Linked DNA regions of Schizosaccharomyces pombe. The protein of the gene in region 1 interacts with the protein of each later gene in a pairwise test. Each region holds a gene or a part of one and is shown in the gene's direction. Other genes may lie near its edges. The genes, in order: sec18, met1, tif222 and mat3-Mc.

Evidence for each region.
Region 2: the proteins of sec18 (region 1) and met1 interact in a two-hybrid assay, tested with the Schizosaccharomyces pombe proteins (one large-scale study listed by BioGRID).
Region 3: the proteins of sec18 (region 1) and tif222 interact in a two-hybrid assay, tested with the Schizosaccharomyces pombe proteins (one large-scale study listed by BioGRID).
Region 4: the proteins of sec18 (region 1) and mat3-Mc interact in a two-hybrid assay, tested with the Schizosaccharomyces pombe proteins (one large-scale study listed by BioGRID).

Annotation. Positions count from the first base shown.
Region 1 is NC_003424.3:4,717,263-4,723,435, reverse strand, and holds sec18 (secretory pathway protein Sec18), read left to right. Parts: upstream 1-2,300; 5' UTR 2,301-2,319; coding exon 2,320-4,698; 3' UTR 4,699-4,923; downstream 4,924-6,173. Other genes in the region: pex7 (peroxin-7), read right to left, coding at 1-60, 388-418; SPOM_SPAC1834.13 (uncharacterized protein), read left to right, coding at 852-1,088; SPOM_SPAC1834.10C (uncharacterized protein), read left to right, coding at 5,125-5,347, 5,409-5,722; mug51 (variant protein kinase 19 family protein), read right to left, coding at 5,946-6,173. UniProt on the Schizosaccharomyces pombe protein: Required for vesicle-mediated transport. Catalyzes the fusion of transport vesicles within the Golgi cisternae. Is also required for transport from the endoplasmic reticulum to the Golgi stack.
Region 2 is NC_003421.2:2,036,450-2,042,095, reverse strand, and holds met1 (uroporphyrin methyltransferase), read left to right. Parts: upstream 1-2,125; 5' UTR 2,126-2,653; coding exon 2,654-4,144; 3' UTR 4,145-4,426; downstream 4,427-5,646. Other genes in the region: Cut3-interacting exosome subunit Cti1, read right to left, coding at 411-812; histone lysine methyltransferase Set5, read right to left, coding at 5,376-5,646.
Region 3 is NC_003424.3:1,670,589-1,675,613, reverse strand, and holds tif222 (translation initiation factor eIF2B beta subunit), read left to right. Parts: upstream 1-1,937; 5' UTR 1,938-1,958; coding exon 1,959-2,172; intron 2,173-2,224; coding exon 2,225-2,615; exon of another isoform or gene 2,616-2,633; intron 2,634-2,661; coding exon 2,662-3,238; 3' UTR 3,239-3,417; downstream 3,418-5,025. Other genes in the region: tit1 (tRNA isopentenyltransferase), read right to left, coding at 363-1,667; glutamyl-tRNA amidotransferase beta subunit Gta2, read right to left, coding at 3,543-4,730, 4,801-5,025. UniProt on the Schizosaccharomyces pombe protein: Acts as a component of the translation initiation factor 2B (eIF2B) complex, which catalyzes the exchange of GDP for GTP on the eukaryotic initiation factor 2 (eIF2) complex gamma subunit.
Region 4 is NC_003423.3:2,130,644-2,134,726, forward strand, and holds mat3-Mc (mating type M-specific HMG-box DNA-binding transcription factor Mc at silenced MAT3 locus), read left to right. Parts: upstream 1-2,205; coding exon 2,206-2,751; downstream 2,752-4,083. Other genes in the region: mat3-Mi (mating type M-specific polypeptide Mi at silenced MAT3 locus), read right to left, coding at 1,943-2,071. UniProt on the Schizosaccharomyces pombe protein: Mating type proteins are sequence specific DNA-binding proteins that act as master switches in yeast differentiation by controlling gene expression in a cell type-specific fashion. Silenced copy of mat-Mc at mat3-M.

The DNA of each region.
Region 1 (6,173 bases):
GGGTGACAGCTGCAACAGCGATCTTGTTTTCGACAAGTGGAGAGAATTGAACACTTTCACCTAGCGAATATTGTTAGTAACGATGTACAATTATGCATTCCAAGATATTTATTTTGTTTTGTTTTCTTTTTTTTTTTCCAATAAAAAGGAAGGAAAATTAAAAGGAAACAAAACAAAACAAAACAAAATAAAATAAAATATAAACAAAATAAAGAAAATATTCAGTAATAACAAAATTTCGTATTTCTACATCATTTGAATTTAGTTTAGTTATAGTTCGGTAATATTCGTTCATTTTATTTGTATTTTTCTCAAGCAGTTGTACTATCGCTAGTACTAGTACCATATAATATTTTGTCTTGCTTCGCTTCCCTTTATTTAGCTTACCTTGAAACCCAGGAGTCCTCAATGACAGCATGGGCAAATAAACACAAGCACGTTGCCCTCGAAGAATTGCTCGTTTACAAGAAAAAAATTCCAGTCATGAAACGGAATTATTTCGCAGCTCGGCTTAGATATTTTTCTTATATAGTTTTGCCAATAAGTGTTTCTACTTATGCTCCAAGCAACTTTTGCTTTTTGCCCCGTCTCGTTTCTGCTCTATTCTGCTTGGCTTGGCTTGGCTTTGCTTTGCTCACCAAATTTTGAGAGCGAAGCTTGTTTCCTCAACCCAGCTTATATATATCAAAAAATATATTAAATAACTACACTACCAATTTAGAAAAATGATAAATCATAAGGCGTGAACCAGGAGAGAAATACAATATAATTGGCTCCTTCACAAGCTAGCTTCGATAAGGGTGGGAAAAGCCGAAAGTTTATGAAATTAAGGTCGATTTTCTATATACCATATGATATTCGCCAGACGATTGGTACTTGAAGTAACTTATGTGTCAAAAAGAGCAAGCGTATTGAATCTGAAATCTGAAAATGACCACTTTCTAAGCAGGCCTAGAATATCCGAGTCACTGCCAACATCAGGGGAGGTGGGGATAGCTAAAGTACCTGCGAAACTTGCAAGTGCGCTGCCGCCTTACTCAGTCTTTGCCCCCGTTTCCCTTAGCTTTGTAAGAATGAATTGCGGATAACGTTAGGACAGTGTAGCTCGGGATAACTAGTTTGCCTGTAAAAGAACAAATAATCATTTGTAAGGGACCTTCCTTCCAAGTCATCAACACTCCATCCCATCTTACCTCACTTTCTCCTCAATCAGATTCAAGAAATGGCTGGCTTCACTTGTGACAATAACAGTGACTCAGGTGAGATATCGAATAAAATTCCATTCCCTAATAATCGCGTTTGAACATTCGCGAATCCTAGATTTTGGTCTATTTACCGTTATCATGCCAATTGAAAAATTTGTGACAGTATGACAGAAATCCGTTTCGTTATGTGAAAAAGGTGACATTAGCAAATCAATGGCCGTTTATACGACAGCAAAAACTCGGTACGCTAATCATTGATGAAATGGAAATCAAAATTCAAGACTTTGCCTCAATAACATTCATTAGAAAGGTGTGTAAATTTTTTAAGGAGACGAGGCGCTGAAAATTTTTTTTTCTACTCCTACTATCAAAACTTGCTAACACTTCCTCCAAACACACTCTTTTTTAAGTAACACTTTTTTTTTATTTCTTATTTATTTAATATTTTGAGTGGATGATCACCCGTATTCGGTTAGTAAAGTGAAGCTCAAAAGAATGATGCGAATCTCGGCAATTAGCGTCAAGCGGCAACGTCTATAGCGGTCGTATAGCTAAGCTAAACAAGAAGCGAGATCTTTCCAATACGGATGTCATTAAGCTACCGATTCTTAAAGCGAAGACATTATCACTCATGACACATAAAATTTTTTGACGTTATTATACGTTTAATAATGAATAAAATAAATTTATAAATAAAATAAAATATATAAATATACAAAAGGGGGAGGGGAAATCCCTTCAATAAACGACAACAACAGTCTGCAAGAAGGTTTGTCTTATTGGAAACAGTTTTCCTATCTTAGAAGGCTGCTAAAAAAATAGTCACTTGCATGCTACAATAATTGCACGCGTAAAGAGGCTTTTGCAAGAAGAGAGAGAAAAAAATTTTTTTGCCAAATGTAAATTGGGAAGTAACATGGCTTCACTACATCTCGTCCTAAAATATAACGACATTGGAAATTTATGGCTTAATTATGATTACGCAATCAAACGGTAAACGTATACTTCACTATTCGCTAATCTGTATTTCGTACTCCGTTATATTATGTTTTAGTAGTAGGTGGAAAGCGTTACGTTTACTGAAAACGATTTTCCATTAACAAAGCACTCAACAATGGACTCAAGATGGAAACTTCCATTCATGTCCAATAAAGGGACACCAGAGCAACCTATGAGGAAACCACTAAGTGGCAGTTATTCCCATAACAGTGCTGGTCCTACACCCAATATGAGCCCCTTTGAGCAAAAACCACCGCTGCCTACACATATGGATGTTAGACGCCCTTCAGGTCCTTTTCGGATCGTCAAGGCGACTTCTACCGAAGATGCTTTAACCAATTGTATCATTGTTTCTCCCATGGACTTTAAGCAGCAGTACATTATTGTAGACAACTCTCGTGTGTTCAGCACTAAACCCGTTCCTGGCTTTCCACAGGGTTGTCTTGGCGCTTCCCAGCCCCATCGCGAATGGGCTTCTTGGTCGCTAAATCAGCAGGTTCATGTTGCCGACTATGATCCATATGGTCCTCATGGAGCTCCTTATCTTCATAGTATGACTTTGGAGGTAGACTTTCAAAATAGAAATCGCACCACTAATGAGCCTTTCGACGGTGAAGAGATGGCCAAGTTATTTTGCTCTAGTTATCAGAGCCAAGTTTTTTCTCCGGGCCAGAAAATTGTTTTCGATTTCCGTTCTTACAATATAAAGGCAACCGTCCGTACTATATCTTGTGTCGATCTTTTAATTGGTGAGAATCAAGATGCCGAAAATACTGCAGATACCAGCAAACGTGGTCTCTTGACTTCCCAGACCGAAATCCAATTTTTTAAAGCCGCTCACTCTGCGTTGCGTTTGAAAGCTAGCATGACAAGACCTGCCTCTAATGCCATTCTTCAGCCAGGCTTTAAATTTGAGGACATGGGCATTGGTGGTCTTGACTCAGAGTTCAGTGCTATTTTCCGTCGAGCATTTGCCTCTCGTCTCTTTCCTCCTGGCATGGTTGAAAAGCTGGGTATTAATCATGTTAAGGGTATTCTCTTATATGGCCCTCCAGGTACTGGTAAGACATTAATTGCTCGACAAATTGGTAAAATGCTAAATGCCCGTGAACCGAAAATCGTTAATGGTCCTGAAATTCTAAACAAATACGTCGGTCAAAGTGAAGAAAACGTTCGTAAATTATTCGCCGATGCTGAACGTGAGTATCGCGATCGCGGAGAGGAATCGGGTCTTCATATTATTATCTTCGATGAATTAGATGCCATATGTAAAAAGAGAGGAAGTTCTGGTGGTGATACAGGTGTTGGCGATCAGGTCGTTAATCAGCTTTTGGCTAAGATGGATGGCGTTGATCAACTGAATAATATCCTTGTTATTGGTATGACTAACAGAAAAGACATGATCGATGAAGCTCTTTTGCGTCCAGGTCGTCTTGAGGTTCATATGGAAATTTCACTTCCAGATGAACACGGCCGTTTGCAGATTCTGAAAATCCATACGTCCCGTATGGCTTCAAATGGTATTTTAGAGAATGATGTTGACATGGAAGAGCTAGCATCTCTTACTAAAAACTTTTCTGGTGCTGAAATTGCTGGATTAATCAAGAGTGCTTCAAGTTTTGCTTTTTATCGCCACATCAAGGTGGGAACCACTGCCGCTGTTTCAGGTAATTTGGAAAATATCAAGGTGAATCGTAACGACTTTTTGAATGCTTTAAGTGAGGTAAGACCAGCTTATGGTGTGAGTGAGGAGGAACTCGAAAGCCGTGTGCAAGGTGGCATTATCAATTTTGGTAAACACATTGAAGAAATAATTACCGAAGGAAAATTATTTGTTCAACAAGTTAAAAACTCCGAACGTACACGTTTGGTCAGTGTATTATTGTCAGGCCCTATAGCGTCAGGGAAAACTGCATTGGCTGCCACGATAGCCCTTGGTTCTGAATTTCCATTTGTTAAGCTCGTTTCCGCTGAGTCCATGGTAGGAATGAATGAAAACGCTCGAGTAGCTCATGTCAATCGTGTGTTCGAAGACAGCTACAAAAGTCCTCTTAGCGTCATTGTAGTAGATGAGATTGAACGTATTATTGATTGGGTACCAATCGGACCTCGATTTTCTAACACCTTACTTCAAACACTTATGGTTCTTTTCAAAAAGCAACCCCCCAAGGGTCATCGATTGCTTATTTTAGCAACTACCTCTGAACGTACTATGCTCTCTCGAATGGATATGACCCAATCGTTTGATGCAGAAATAGCAGTTCCTAATGTCTCCAACGTTACTGAACTGGACCGCATCATACAATCAATAGATTCATTTGCAGACAGCAATGTTCGAGCTGATACATTACAACGTTTGCAGAACTTTACTGGTACTGATGCTGTCAATGTCGGAGTAGCCAAGATTCTTATGATAGCCGAAACGGCTAAACAGGATGTAGACGTTGTTTCCTGTTTTGTTGAAGCCATGGCCCGTGCTATTCCTATGGAATAGCAATGACACCTTTTTAATAACTGAGACGTTTTAGTCATGAATATTTTCTCAAGGTTTTTTATATTTTATACCGTTATAGATTATAGTTAATGAATACACCGCAATACTGTATGAATATTAAGTTAAAAGATGTTCGAACCTATATGTAACGTTAAAAAAATTAAATCATCTTGTTAAATGAATGCTTATCAATATAACTTTATAGCCTTTTATAGTCAATTATCCATAAATAATCATTTGAAGCATTGTAAACAATTTAAGCATACTACATTACTCCCATACTGAGAGGCACAATTTACCAATTCGCTATTTCCACTCCACATTGACCCGGTTCATATTCTAAATCTTTAATTTCATCAGTCATAAATAGTAAAGGACATGGAAATTTAAAAATCGTAACATTCAACTCACATACTTAATTCTAAAATGAATATGCCCTCCGAAATACTACTTGGTGCAAGACGCTGGTTTGCTTCAACATCATTTAGTCTAGCAGCTGTATATGATGCTCCACTTAAAAAAGCTATAGGAAACATTAAAAAGTTTTCGATTGGATCATTAGGTTTAACTTATATGATTTCTCCAGTGATGCTTTTACTTGATGCAGGAGGTTTAAGTTTGGGAACGAGAATGTCGATGGTTTTCTTGGGTATGTTTCATCAAGAAATCGGATTACCAAAATTTCCAAAGCAAATTTATTAACATGTTAGCATGTACTACTACTAGTTTGTCGACTGCAATAATTCACTGGGCTGCTAAATCTTATGTTTCGGAGGCAACGTTAAAGGGAAACGTGCTATCTTTAAATACATTTAATATTCTAGGAAAAAAGCGCTTATCCCAATATACTTTAGACAAGCTCAAAATCCCTGATACCAACAATAGTCGTCCATTCGCAAACCTTGAAAGCACTACTGTACCCAAACGATATTTTTACTTGCACCCAGAATTGGCTACGCCAATTTTTAATGCTATACGGCAGGCACAGCAACCTAAGCAAATAAACAAAAACGATTCGAAATAGATATCATAATAACTATATAAGTTTTTTAATATAAAATTCAATGTATTGTAATTTAGGTCTTAATCGAGTTTGAAATGTAGAACGAATAAAATAATGCTCATCTTTTGAATAAAAAAGGGAGGAAAAAAATGGTAAAGATTGATTAATGAAAGTGTATGATATGAATAAATAGTACCGTATCCGATTGTTCTCGAATATGTGTGAATTATCTGACGACAGTGTTTTAAAACTTCATTTCAAGTCCTTTTTTAGTTAAACGGAATGCTCTTCCACAAGTAGTCATAAACGAATCAACCAGTCCGGCTCCTATGGCGTCGCAAAGTCGAAACTTCCAACCAAAAAATGCTTCGTTCTTCTTTTTGCAAGCTACCGAAACATTGCGATTATATAGTGACGATTCAATTACTTCGCGGTACGGCCTCTTTTTTAAATAATTTGACAAGTCGTTTCT
Region 2 (5,646 bases), on another chromosome or scaffold:
TAAATAAAAAACAAATTTTTCCACGTCTACGTTTTCGCATTTCTATGAGGATATGTTAAGAATTTAGGCATGCATCTAAACCGAACCATTCAACACAGTGCCTTCAACAAAAATCGCTTTCATTTACATGAATTTCAAAGTATGTAAAAAAAAAAAAAAGTTAAAGCACATAGTAAAGGAATCCTTTTTGATATTTGATAAATCCTTGTTTCAAAGTATTACGCTCGAATAATAAAAAAAATTGAAAAAAAAAGGCAACTAAAGAGACAGTTTCGGTAAAATCCGTCCATTAGCTCCAAATTCCATGTATATTAATTAAAAAAAAAATTAATTACTTTTTTCATTCGTAAGTTATCACCCGTTAATCCATAGAGCCAAAGTCATGTCAATAGAAGAAACAAAAACGTCTATCAAGTGTGATGTTTAATGATTCGAGTAGCTGCGTCCTTAGCAACTTTTGGACGATTAGAAGAAGAAGAGGAAATAGCGGCGTTGGACGTATTTACCGCTTCTGTTTTGGGATTCACATTTTTTTCAGCTTGCTGGATTTTGCTAATGTAATTTTTAACACGCTGCAATTCTTGCATTACGGGTCGCTCACTAGCGTCTATTCCATTTAACTTATAAAAAGAATAGAGAGTAGAATTAATGGCATAGGACATGGTGATATATAACTTTGCTTGTTCCAATTCGGATTTTCCTTCAGCAAGTTCAAAAATTGATTCAGCATCCTTCAATGGTTTAAGAACATCTTCCACGTTATCTAATTGCTTATTTAATCTTTCAAACAGCTCAGAATACTCTGGGTCCATGTTTAACAGACAGAGAGACAGGCTGTGGATATATGCGAATTCTACCTTCTGTCCTCAATTCCAAAATGTAGAAAAACGTCGAAAGCAGGTATGTAACACAATATACCGTGCCCTTGGCTAATTTATCCTCAAATTTTTTGTATATCAGCTACGCAGTTTGGTATCTGCTTTAACAATACATTGAATTGCGATGAGTTTCTCATTCGTCCTATTATTATTGCAATACGCAGGTGATATAAGTAGCAACTGAGTGTAGGTATTGTACTATCAAGTTGTATTGTTATTTATTGCAAATACAACTTATAATTGTGTAAGGAATGAGGTTTAGCAGTAACTCTATTTACGTTGTTTAGATGATTTGGATTTTAATAGATTATTGTTAAAATTAATATCAACATCGTATCATCTGCGGTGCGATATGTAAATGGAACATGTGAACATATAGTGACGTGTGACGCAATACAGTATAGCATAGTATATTGTTGTGTTGTTGACAATTTGAACTTTAGTTTACCATGTTTAACGGAATATTAAAAATACGATGTAACTCACTATTCGCTTAAAAGTTAGTTCTAATTTTTCAAGGCTACACTTGTTCGCTTGACTCAAAAAGTCGATTCGCCTCTTGAAATATCTTTAGAAAAAAAGAAAAGAAAACTCGCCGTCAACAGAGAGTTCACCCATGCATGAAGAAAATGTAAAGTTATGAATACGGAAAATATGCGTTTAGCGCTTACAAAAATTCGTTAACGTTAAGGCCTATGTGAGCAACATTATCACTAAACATAATATATATTAACATCTCTGATTTGGCTAGGAGGAAGTATGACATTTACAAGTGGGCCATTTTTTTATTGTGGTTTGTTATTTATATGAGGATTCAGATGTTTGCATTCATACTTAAGTAACGCAGTTCGAAAGCATTTTCTTTTTTTGTGAATATCAAAGCGTACTTCCTTAAAACTTTTTACTCATTATCTTACTAAGCCAAATTTTCCCCAAAGCTAGAGGAAAGCTATCATGCAAGTTAACTTGTTAATTAGCAAAAACTACAGTGACTAAGGGACTCGTCATGTACTAACTAGCAAGGTTATTTTTGTACTATATCGTGCAATAACGATGCCTTGATAGAAATATTTTATGAGCTCTACCGCTGGTACTTTACCTGGTTTAAAGAAGTATGGTTATTGGTTGATTACCGTATTCCGCAAAAAAATTTTAACGATCAATCATTTTTGCAGCAAATTGCGCCATCATTTGGTGATTGATGTATGCAGTCATATAAAGTGTAGGCAAGACCTCAAACGCTCATCAAGCGAAAAGAACAAGGAAGGAGGTCGGATAACGGGTTGTTGTAATACGTAAAGAGGATTTAAAGCGATATTCGGAAGTACAAAATTTATTTATTGTTTTCATTATCGTTGAAAATCTTTATTCAATTTACCGAGGTTTAACGACCACTGCACAATTGTCTTTCTCTACAAGTTAATCAATCAGTTTAATAGTGTTGCAATCAATTGCTCGATTGCTTCGTAGAAAGAATTAAAATTTGTAACTTAAGCTAAAGGCTAAATTGTTGGTTTATGAGATATTTCTTTCCTTTCTTTCCCGCATTTTTGCGTAGAACAACAAAGTCTGGTTTTTGCAGTACTTCAGCCAGCAGCTCTTCTTCTCCACCAAGACAATCCAAAACGAAGTGACTAAAATTGTGAAAAATTGAAGTGAAAATATATATATTGGAAAATAAGATTGACGCAATATTTGGAGATTAAAAAAAAATTTTGGGCAAAAACCTATTCTCTACCAAGTACACCTGAGTTAACCTATTAGAAACTACTACAATGATTGTTTCCTGGTCCTTGAAAGACGCCGTTGTTGTAGTCGTTGGTTCAGGAAAAAATGCTTACCGACGGGTGAATTTATGTTTAAGTGAAAATTCTTCTAAAATTTTTTGGTTTTGTCGCAGCTCCGCTGATGGTGGATTTGACGTTGGTCATCTTCAGCTTGACGCAAAAAAATCGGATGCTATTGAAATTCTTCCCATTTCTGAATTTGATCCCGTTCGTTCATTAACGACGCTGGGAAAGGAGGAGACAGATTTTTTGGTGGATGCTGTTTTCGTGTCAGAGTCCAACCACCATGAAAAGGAAATTTTACATCGTACGTGCAAAAGGTACCGAATCCCATTAAACATCATTGATAATCCTTCTTTGTGCTCCTTTACTCTACCAGCTACGTGGTCAGAACCACCTCTTCAAATTTCTTTAAGTACTTCATCAAATGGTTGTCGTTTAGCTCAAAGGCTGTTGAGACACGTGGTGAGTAGCCTTCCTTCCGGTATGCCAGAAGCCATTGAGCGTTTTGGCCGAGTGCGAGCGATCACTAAAACTCCAGAAAAAAAACAGTGGATCAATCATGTTAGTGATTTTTGGCCCCTCGAGAAGTTGGTTCGGATGACAGAGGACGATCTTCTTGCCATAGTTTCTGACAACTTCTCTCTTCCACTCTCATCAAGCCAATCTTCTTCACTTGCCAACTCCTATGAAAGTTTATCAACCACCTTGGACAAGCCTTCATTGACGCTTGACCCTGAGGCTTTTCCTACTCATAAGCGAGGTTCAATAGCTTTAATTGGAAGTGGACCTGGCTCTCCTGATTTACTTACTGTTGCTGCCAGAAAGGCTATAATGAAAGCCGATTATGTACTAGCCGACAAGCTGGTACCAGAAGCGGTATTACAGTTAATTCCAAGGCATACTCCACTATTTATTGCTAGAAAATTTCCTGGAAATGCGGATAAGGCACAAGATGAACTTCACCAGGTTGCTTTTGATGCTTTATCTAGAGGTGATTATGTTGTCCGTTTGAAGCAAGGTGATCCTTATATTTATGGGCGAGGCGGTGAAGAGTATCTATTCTTTACACAACACGGTTATGTACCAACGGTTATTCCTGGCATCAGTAGTGCTTTGATGGCCCCTATCTCTGCTGGTATTCCCGTTACACATCGTGGAGTGGCCGATCAATTTCTTGTGTGTACTGGAACTGGTCAAAAGGGTTCGATGCCTAAAATACCTTCTTTTGTCCCTACACAGACCACAGTTTTCCTAATGGCTTTACACCGACTAGAAATTCTTGTGCAAGCACTAATTGAAAGCGGTTGGCCTAGAGTGTTACCGGTTTGTATAGCTGAGCGCGTCTCTTGCCCTGATCAAAGGTTCATTTTCTCTACTTTGGAAGACGTTGTGGAAGAATACAACAAGTACGAGTCTCTCCCCCCTGGTTTGCTGATTACTGGATACAGTTGTAATACCCTTCGCAACACCGCGTAACTATCTATATGAATTATTTTCCCTTTATTATATGTAGTAGGTTCGTCTTTAATCTTCCTTTAGCAAGTCTTTTACTGTTTTCGACCTCAATGTTCATGTTCTTAGGTTGTTTTGGATAATATGCGGTCAGTTTAATCTTCGTTGTTTCTTCTTAAAATATTTATTCATGGTTTAATTTTTGGTTTGTACTTGTTCAGGGGCCAGTTCATTATTTACTCTGTTTGTATACAGCAGTTCTTTTATTTTTAGTATGATTTTAATTTAAAACAATTCTAATGGTCAGTGGAAAGATATTTTGGCTTGATATTTGTGTACTATACTCATCTGTATTACTAGCAACTGCTAAATAAAGATACACAATCATAACCTGTTATTTTAAATGTAAGGATAGATGAACAAATAGATAGAATCAACATATCAGTTTTGTATTAGAACATTTTGATACACGTTTCATGATTCATTTATCCAATATAGTTTTAGTAGAATGATATTCATTTTAGTAGATAATCTAAAAAAGCAAATATTAAACTGCATCAGCCGGGAGTCGAACCCGGAGCTAATGCTTGGAAGGCATTGATGTTACCGCTACACCACTGATGCATTTATTATTTAGAGGTTAAAGAATATGTTATATATTGTTACAAAAGCAGTGTCTTAAGAATGTGTATAATTCTGAAGAAATTTTTTGTTGTTTTGAATAATAAGGAATATTTGGTTTATTGATTTACTGGTTCTATTTGTGAATCGGCTTTTGCTCAAAATACCGAATCTATTTTTTGGATATTTTAAAAAAATCAGCAAACATGCACCAAATGCTTAAATCTCTTCAACAATAATGTTTACAACTCGATAGGAAGTGATTACTCAATACTGCAAACCCTTCTTATAAATTTCTTTTATAAATACCTTTTGTATGAATTAAATCAGTACTCACTTCTATGCTAAATACTGAATATTCTCCATATTAAAATATTCTCAATCATTTACAATTCATGCCAAACCCCAATAGGTTTCTAAATTTTTTATTTATAAAAAAGAAAGGAGATACAAAAACTCTAGGATCTCAGGAAGATAGTTTCAATTTCAGGTTTTTATCATCCATAAAAGTTTTATAATTTTTCAATAGAATAAATACAATCCCAAGCTCATCAAACTAAAAGTTAAGACGAGCATTAACAATACATGCCCAATTTTCCAATAAAAACAAAAACAGTAGTTTTTTACCCCATGCTTAATCAGTATCACTATAAACATCTTCTTCAAGCTTACATCCCCATAAATTATCTTCCAAATCCGATAGTTCATCATCCTCTTCTAAAAATAATGGTAGAGCAGGCACTCCTTCAGCAAGAGCATGACTTCGTGGGTTCTCTACATACTTGGAAATTTTCAAATATTTTTCAGAATCAGTTCCTTCATACAAACTAATTGCTTTAGTCCCCTTTTTTGCAAAAATACTGGCTCTCTCAAAATCACCGTGGATGACACATAATCGGAAGGCA
Region 3 (5,025 bases), 3.0 Mb from region 1:
ATGTACAATCCTAAACGTAGCTTAATTCTAGTGTTAAATTGTTTATAACTTAGTCACAGAGAAACTGAAAATTCACGAGCATTACCCTTGTAGTATTAATCTAAAGAAGTAAAATCTTTGCTATGGAATCCTCTGTCGTCTCTCCATTCTTGAAGGTTTCAAGCATGATTATTCAGACTAGTTCGTAGCATGCGTATATAATAATAAATTTCACTATTAGCTTACAAGTTAACGCTCTAAATCTGGATAAATAAACACTGTGCATCCATCTTGAATACTTCAATAATGACCATTCTCCATAGCTTTTTATGACTTATATTATGAACATGACCAAAAATATAATAATAAATACAATATGGACTTCATTTTAAAATTCCAATGTTTTTTAAACGAATTTGACGCTCAGCTCTTTCTTTTTTACGTCGCACCGTGGTTTTATGCTTCCTACTTTTAATATGGACATTGAACGCATCTTCTCCTATTACAGTGAATGGATCACCCCGCTTGTCTAAACATTCCTCGCAAACGAACTTCTTTTTCTGAGATTGGCGACCGTTCATTATGGAGAGATAATCTCTGGCTTTTTCGAAAGCGTGCTGATCATCAGCAGATGGAGCAATGGCATCGCCATTATAAAAAAAATATTGAAATACTCTACAAGCCTTTTCAACTTGCTCTTCCCAATTGTTCAAGTCCGTAGTGTTTGTGGTGGAAAATAGAATTGAAGAAGGGGATAAATCTTGTTGAGCCAAACACATCGGGAGGAATCGACTTTGGATCCATTTCTTCTGAGATTTTGCATACTGTCTAGTAGAAACCTTCATTCGTTCTAAACAATCATTAAAGACTATATCCGAAGGCGCTTCAAACCATGGCATGAATTCTTTAAATCCAATACATTGCCAAATCCCACGGGTGAAATCAGGAGAAAATTTTTCACTTTCAGCAAGACTCTTCATGCTTTTTATTTCATCAACCAATCCATGGCTTAGCATTTTGTCAACACGTTTATCAAGTCGCGGCATTAAGACTAAAGAATCTGCGAACGCCCAAAATATTAGAGATTTGTATCGAAGTTTAGAGCCACTTGACTTCATTTTTTGCTCAGAATAAATTTCAGATGGCGGTCGACCGGTGTGAAAATATATCTCTAGGCTTCTTCGAATTTTACGAGTATCCCGAGGATGCCATTGCTCAGCCATCACGGGATCTATCTTTTTTAAATACGAAAGCATAGCAGATGGATCATCATCCAAGATATGAGAGTCCGGATGGGGTGGCTTACTAGGTGATGAATCGTTCGTCAATTTATCAATAGCCGACAAAGTAGTATCTTCAAACAAAAGGGACTGCAAATAATAATGAGTCCCTCCAACCACAATAGGTATCTTTCCTTGACTGTGAATCTCGTCAATTACGCGGGAGGCATCTCGTTCAAACTCGGGAACACTGTATTCTTTGTCAAAGTTCAAGAAGGACATCAAGCGATGATGAACATTCTCTTGCTCTTCCACAGTAATTTTATTGGTTATAGTATCAAATCCCCGATAAATTTGCATCGAGTCAGCATTAATGACTTGGCTTCCAAACCGTTTCGCCAGCTGAACTGCTAAATCCGACTTACCAGCTCCTGTAGTACCGATGACAACGCAAAGGGGCTTTAACATTTTATAAGATATAGATTTTTACCTTATCTTCAATAGATTACACACCGAATCAAGCTTAGACTAACAAATCCATTTCCCAAATTTTCCCAAGCAAGCCTGGCTCTTTACCAACTGATTTTACCTTACATTTTGTTTTGGTTCACTATCCCCGTTCCTTTATTGCGGCGTCAACTTCGGTATATGCTTTAACGATGTTTTAATTACTGTAAACAAGTTATTACATTTTTACAGCGTTCGTATTTGTTCGTTATTAACATGTAAACACTACTTGTCGTTTCCCATCGCCTGAAAATGTCAACTATTAATGTTGAACATACCTATCCGGCTGTAAGTAGCTTGATAGCAGACTTAAAGTCAAGAAAGGTACAAGGCCCCTTTGCAGTTGCCGTTGAAACGGCGCTGGTAATGAGACAAGTGATTTCTCAAACTCGCTGGTCAACAGTTGATCAATTAATTGATACAGTCCGTGCTGTTGGATCTACTCTTGTCAAGGCTCAACCTACTGGTATGTATTTTGAATCATATTCTTTTATTGTGTTACATGCTAAACCGTGAAGAATTTTCTTGTGGAAATATTATTAGAAGAATTTTACGCTTAATCCGCGAAGAATATCAAGAATTATTAAAGACTGCTGATGAAAATGAGAAGTTAATCGTTTCTTCATCGAACTCTTCTAGCCCTTCTCAAAAAAGAGACATTCCCTCTAACGAAAAATTGGTTCAAAGTCACGAACCTGTTTCAGTTCAGATGTACTCTTCTATGCTTAATTTATTAGGTCGTCCTACTCTTGAGTCTCCCACACATAGTAAAACCGTCGGTGACAGTAGGGTCACCGGTGGCATGGATATGCGCGCTGTGATCATATCTGGCATCCAAGATGTAATCGATGAGTTGGACAAGATTAATACTGATATTGAAGTTCAATCAATGGACCATTTGCATTCAAAGTATGGTGTCATGCTAAACATCTTATCAGTTAGCTAACCTTTTTAGTGAAATTATTTTAACTCAGGGTTGCTCAAAAACTGTTGAAGCTTTTCTCCGTTTTGCCGCAAAGAAACGCAAATTTTCAGTGATTGTTGCAGAAGGATTTCCCAATAACCAAAAAGGTTCTCATGCCATGGCAAAGCGATTAGCTCAGGCTGGTATTGATACAACTGTTATATCTGATGCTACGATTTTTGCAATCATGTCACGCGTGAATAAAGTTATACTTGGTACGCATGCAATCTTGGGTAACGGAGGATTGGTAACCTATAGTGGAGCCCAATTAGTTGCTCAGGCTGCCAGGCACCATGCTACTCCCGTAGTGGTGTGTTCGGGTATTTATAAGCTTAGCCCTGTTTACCCTTATGACTTAGAATCCATTATCCAACTGTCTTCACCTGATAAAATTATGTCCTTTAATGAAGGTGATCTAATAAGCCGCGCTGAAATTTTAAACCCTTACTATGATTACATCCCACCAGACCTAGTAGATCTGTTTATTACCAATTTGGGTGGCTATCCTCCTTCCTACCTTTATCGTATTATGAATGATACTTATGATGCAAGCGATACAATTCTTTAAAGAGTTTGCATTCTATTTTCTCTTGGAAAATTGATTACCTATTAAATCAAGTTTATCAAATTTCTTTACACGTGTTTAGGTAAATATTAAAATTTTGGAATAAATAACATGGGTTACATTAGATTGAATTTTTTTAACTGTGGGTTTCTGTTGCAAGTAATACAGGCAATTAACTCAGCAAAATAAAACTTTGAAATTAAAGTAAATGGACTATGAATTTTAACGAGTTTCCTTTCATTGTCTAATGATTTGAAATATGCAGTAATTAAAAAAACTAGGGCCACTAATATACAAACCAATTTGATTACTTTTCCCTTCGTAAACTGCTTTGCACTTCCATCTCAATGTCTTTGGGACTTGCTTGTCCTCGAAGCTCTCTCATCGTAAGGCCAACAAACCACTTTATAAGGGAAGTTTTACCATTTTTCAACTCTTCAAATTGTTTTGAATGTTTACTAAGAACACTTTCTACACAAGCTTTTATTTTCTCGGAATCGCCAATGGTACCAAAATTTTTTTCTTGGATGAGAGTAGATATAGGTTTCGATGAAGGTGATTTTATCAATGAACGAAGGAAGAGTTTAGCAGATGCAGCTGTAAGTTTCTTCTTGGAAACAAGAAGTACAATGTCAGCCAATTGCAAAGGAGGAACGATATTGATGTTAGGGGAAGGGTCAATTTCACGAACTTTTCCTACTAGTTCCACAGTGATCCAGTATGGAAGGGTACGTAAAGCATCCTCTTTCAAAGATTGATTTACATGGCTTATAGAATCGATATGGTGGTACGCATTTCTGTAGTAGTGATAGTATTCCTTCACACTTAATAATGTACGGGCCTCTTTATGACTAATGGCATGAGAACCCGTTGTAAGCTTTTGGAAAAGTTCGTCAGGCAGAGCAGGTAATGATTTTAAGACAGAATTCACATAACTCCGAGAAAGTATGATTGGGGGGATATCGGTTTCAGGAAGAAATAGATAATCGTCGGAGGTTGTCTTATTACGAAGAGGAAATGTTTTACCAGTGATATCGTCGAATCCCCTCGTTTCTGAGGGCCAAGAAACACCCATATTTGCCAAAGAGACTTGTCGGTCCACTTCATGGCGAATTGAATTTACTACATTTCGTACATTTGACAAATTTTTTAATTCAACACGAGCCAACTGAGTACCTAATTGGGGGAAATGGGATATGGATTTCTCTACTGATATCACTCCGTTGTTTTTAAAATGAAGTTCATTTAGATTTTCTGAAGAGATGACTGGCGCGATTGAGACATTAACATCACATCTCATCCCTCCATTTTCCATCAACGCCTCAGATATTCCAGCGAAGCGAACGATGGATTGCAATTTAAACAAGAATGCAGAAACAGTATTGACATCATGAAAGCAAGGTTTAGTGACGATTTCCAATAACGGAGTTCCTGCTCGATTATAATCCAGTAAGATTCGCGATGGATTTTTAGCAGACGTCGATTTTGCAGTATCCTAAATATAAGTTTGTTAAAATACTTTTCAAATCCAGTATATGGAAAGTTGTTTTGACAATGTTTCTTACCTGTTCTAGTTGAATATGTTGTATGGGGATTTGAGTATCTGGAACATTGTCCAAACCAGCCGACAATGGTATAAATCCATTTCTTCCTATAGGAATTTCTTTCTGCGTAATCTGATATCCCGCAGGTAAGTCTGGATAAAAGTAATGCTTTCTGTCGAATTTGCAAACATTCGCTACCTCACAATTCAGTGCCAATGCTCCTTTCACTGCAAACTTTAACGCTTC
Region 4 (4,083 bases), on another chromosome or scaffold:
TGCGAAAATAAGTATAAATTCTTTAGCTAGTAGATCAAAAAATTGGATTGTTTTCATATGCTTCCATCTATATTCTATTATTTAAGAATGCAGATGAATTCATCATTACCATGTTAATGTAAAAGAGCTGGCCACCATCTTATAACCTTTTCTTTAAAATTTTTATAAGTATAATAGTCGCTCAGGAAAAAGGAAGAACGGCAAATAATAGAAAAAGGTGGAATTTCTTAAATTTGTAATTAAAGTAATTTCTATTCTTTTGTATGAAAAATCAAATCACCGCTTTTGAGATTAATCGTTTACATCTGGTTTTTTAAGAAACTGATTATAAATCCAATCGTTAAACTTAAAAGATCTTTGCTTTTAGAAAAAGCGCAAATACAATTTTATGAGAACCCGACGATACAATATATAGACTATGGGTTGATTATAAAAAGCGGAAGGAAGTATTGATCTACATAACTTACTATGTCATTACCGTTGTGTAAAAGTAGGCAAAAGTTTAAAATGGAAGCAAAGCTGGACAATAAGTGTTGATGCGGTATTTTGGAAATAGAAAAACAAAATTATAATTCAGAACAACCTTCTCATAAAAATCTGTTCTACTCATACCAATCCATTAAAAAGCCTAAAAAATACCTAGACAAATGACCAAGATACGCTACTAACTTTATAATAATATTTCGCAAGCCGTCTATTGACTTTCTCACTTTCAATTTCACACAACATTTAAATACAAATGTACATTTACAAATATAGTAATATGCTGGTATGGACATAGCAATTTAGCACTATATTAGCCTTTATTTAACAAAAATCACTCTTTAAATAAACAGTTCTAATAAAAAATTCAATTAAACCCATTCAAAAACTAACTTTACAGTACATGAATAAAATCTTAAGATTATCAAAAAAACTTTCAAACATGTTCAAAGTTTACAACCATGTAGGCATCGAGAAAGCTGACAAACAAAAATGAATACATCACGTTCACTTCCCAATAGTTATATAGTTATACATATTTCTTAACAATTTAACCCTCTTAGCTTTCTACATTTCCAAACATCATATTAAACCTACTCGAATCCATATGACTACAACTACCTTCTAAAAGTTTCAAAACAGTTTGAAAAGTTTCACCAAGGCAAACAATTATCTTTTGAAATACAACATTTCAATATGTCAAATCCTCAAAAACATACAGCAAAAAAATGCCAACATGATTAAAATAAAATTTTAAAATACCCAAAAAAAATCAACCAGTAGGACATTTTTATAGTTCCCAAATACGCATCTCCACTTAAAAGAATAAAAGGAATTTATATTCCAACCTAAACTCAGCAAAAAAATTCATTATGATATAAAACATAAAAACAAAAACAATCACCAAAAATTATAAAGAAAACCAAATCTATGATTGCAAAATTCTAAAAAAGACATAAATCGCAATAAAAAGAACAAACTAATTAACTAATAATAATAATAATAATAATAAAACAAAAAAGGAAGAACTAACAACATTTTCAATTCCTCAACATAAATGAATTCCATTTAAACCACAATTATTTCATAAATAATCAAAAAAATATATATATGAATACCACATTAACAAGTAGGAAAACAAATAACATGTTCCTTCGCCTACGTAAGTTTACAAACCGGACAAAATTATAAACTAAATAAAACTAAAAAAAAAAAAGTACACAATTATAAGGACCCATACAACAACGGATTACTAAAAACAGCAGTTTAAATGTTTTAGTTCTGCCGCGCGCGCACCTTAAACAGGTGCTTGCTTGGCAGCCTCGTAGGCTTTTAAAAGTTATTTTTCTGTATGCATATGCATATGCATTTGTATAGCATACAACCTTTAATTTAATAGCCATACAACCTAATAGCCAGAAACGCCTTCCCAATTTACTGAACCCTGCTTATATGTAGTTTATAATTGTTGTGTCTTTTTTTTACGTTTAAGTTGTAATTTGATGTTAGAATTTATTACAATGGATGCAAGTTTTAACTCAATTTGATCACATAGGATTTGAATTGTAAAAAGGTCTTCTGCTGACATTATTAGTATGTATTGTGCTTTAGATTAAATTATTGTGTTTTAGTGTATTTTGTTCCTTTGTTTTTGGGTTTCTTTGTTCTGTAAGTAGTTAAATACCCTCCACACTCTACACCTACCTTGCACTCACAACTACAATGGACTCACACCAAGAATTATCAGCGGGTTCCCCTATTTCCTACGACTTTTTAGATCCAGACTGGTGTTTTAAAAGATACCTTACAAAGGATGCTCTTCATTCAATTGAAACTGGCAAAGGTGCTGCTTACTTTGTTCCTGATGGCTTTACTCCTATACTCATTCCTAACTCACAAAGCTACCTGTTGGATGGGAATTCTGCACAACTGCCAAGACCTCAACCAATATCCTTCACATTGGATCAATGTAAAGTTCCCGGCTATATTTTGAAGAGTTTACGGAAAGACACTACGTCTACTGAACGTACTCCGAGACCCCCTAATGCTTTTATATTATACAGGAAGGAAAAACATGCTACATTATTAAAGTCTAACCCTTCCATCAATAATTCACAAGTTTCCAAGCTGGTTGGAGAGATGTGGAGAAACGAATCAAAGGAAGTACGTATGCGATATTTTAAGATGTCTGAGTTTTATAAAGCACAACATCAGAAAATGTACCCTGGTTATAAGTACCAGCCTAGAAAGAATAAAGTTAAAAGATAATAATGGTAATATTTATGGTATTTAATAAAGAATTTTGAAATTGATTTAAATATGCTTCTTAGAGTTACATTCACTGAAGATTATAATGTAATATTTTGTGTACCCCATTTGCGTTGAGTTATTCTATAGTAATTATTGTGTGTTCTATTAACGATGTATTGCGATTTATATCTGTTATGCTAACATAACGTAGTTCTAAGCACTGTAATGCCATACTGTTTTAGAGGGTGATGCTTCCTAAAATCTCCTTACATAAAGTAATACATGGATTTTACTGCCCTGATTCTATCGAAATATGCTGTTTTTTTTATTCGTTTTTATTTATTTTCAATAATTTTTTTGTAATATAAATGTATAGTCTTTCTCCTTTGTTTTCTCTCGTTCGTTTCCATGTTATCCAAATATGTTTGTTTGGCCGATAGTCTGTCTTTTGGGAAAAAATGCGCATTTTGTGTTTTTAAAAGCAGTTTAGAATAGTTTTAAACAAAAAAAGCAATCGTTTTGCCAACATAACGATATCATCATTTAGCAACAACTATAATGTTCAAATTATAACCTGATATTGAGTATATAGTAAATTAATAAATTAGAATTGTTTTACCTATTAAACGTGATCATTTGTACAGTTTTTCTCAACACATTCACTACAAATATTTCACTGACATCAATCGCTAGGCGCTTTAATATAATTTTTTTGAAAACTGGAAACATATTTTTAAGTTAAAATAAAATAACTTGCTCAAAAATATCTAACAGTAGTTGGCAAATAAATAAATAAAAGTTCTTCTTACCCGGATAGACATTTTGATGGAATTATCAGTTACCTTAAAATGCGTTAACCAAATTAACGTCAAACTAGTATAATACATCGCAATAACCATTTAACATATTTCTTCTAGGTAGTAATGAATTACTTCAGTTGACAAAATTTGTGCACTGTGGCTTTCATGTCAATTTTAGTTTTTTCATTCCTATCGGTTTGCTCATACCATATTTTAAAAGAATGTTTACTTTTTTTATTTAACCATGATCGATGATTTTTATCTTAACTACTAACAAGTGGTTTCTTAAATTTATTTGTATTTTCACGTTTGAAGAGCAATTAATTAAATTAACCAAGTTTGAAATTGAATATAATTTACATATTGACATTTATATCTATGCATAGGGTTCTCTTCAGTAATCAGTCAACCGCGTTGTCTCAATATCTCACGAAAACTTATTATCCAAATAGTCTATCAATACAAGCTTAGCAATCAGTGTTGAAATGAATCATATTACTTCAAACTTTGCAAGTTATCTCAACGCTGCTATTATTAAAATTACAATACA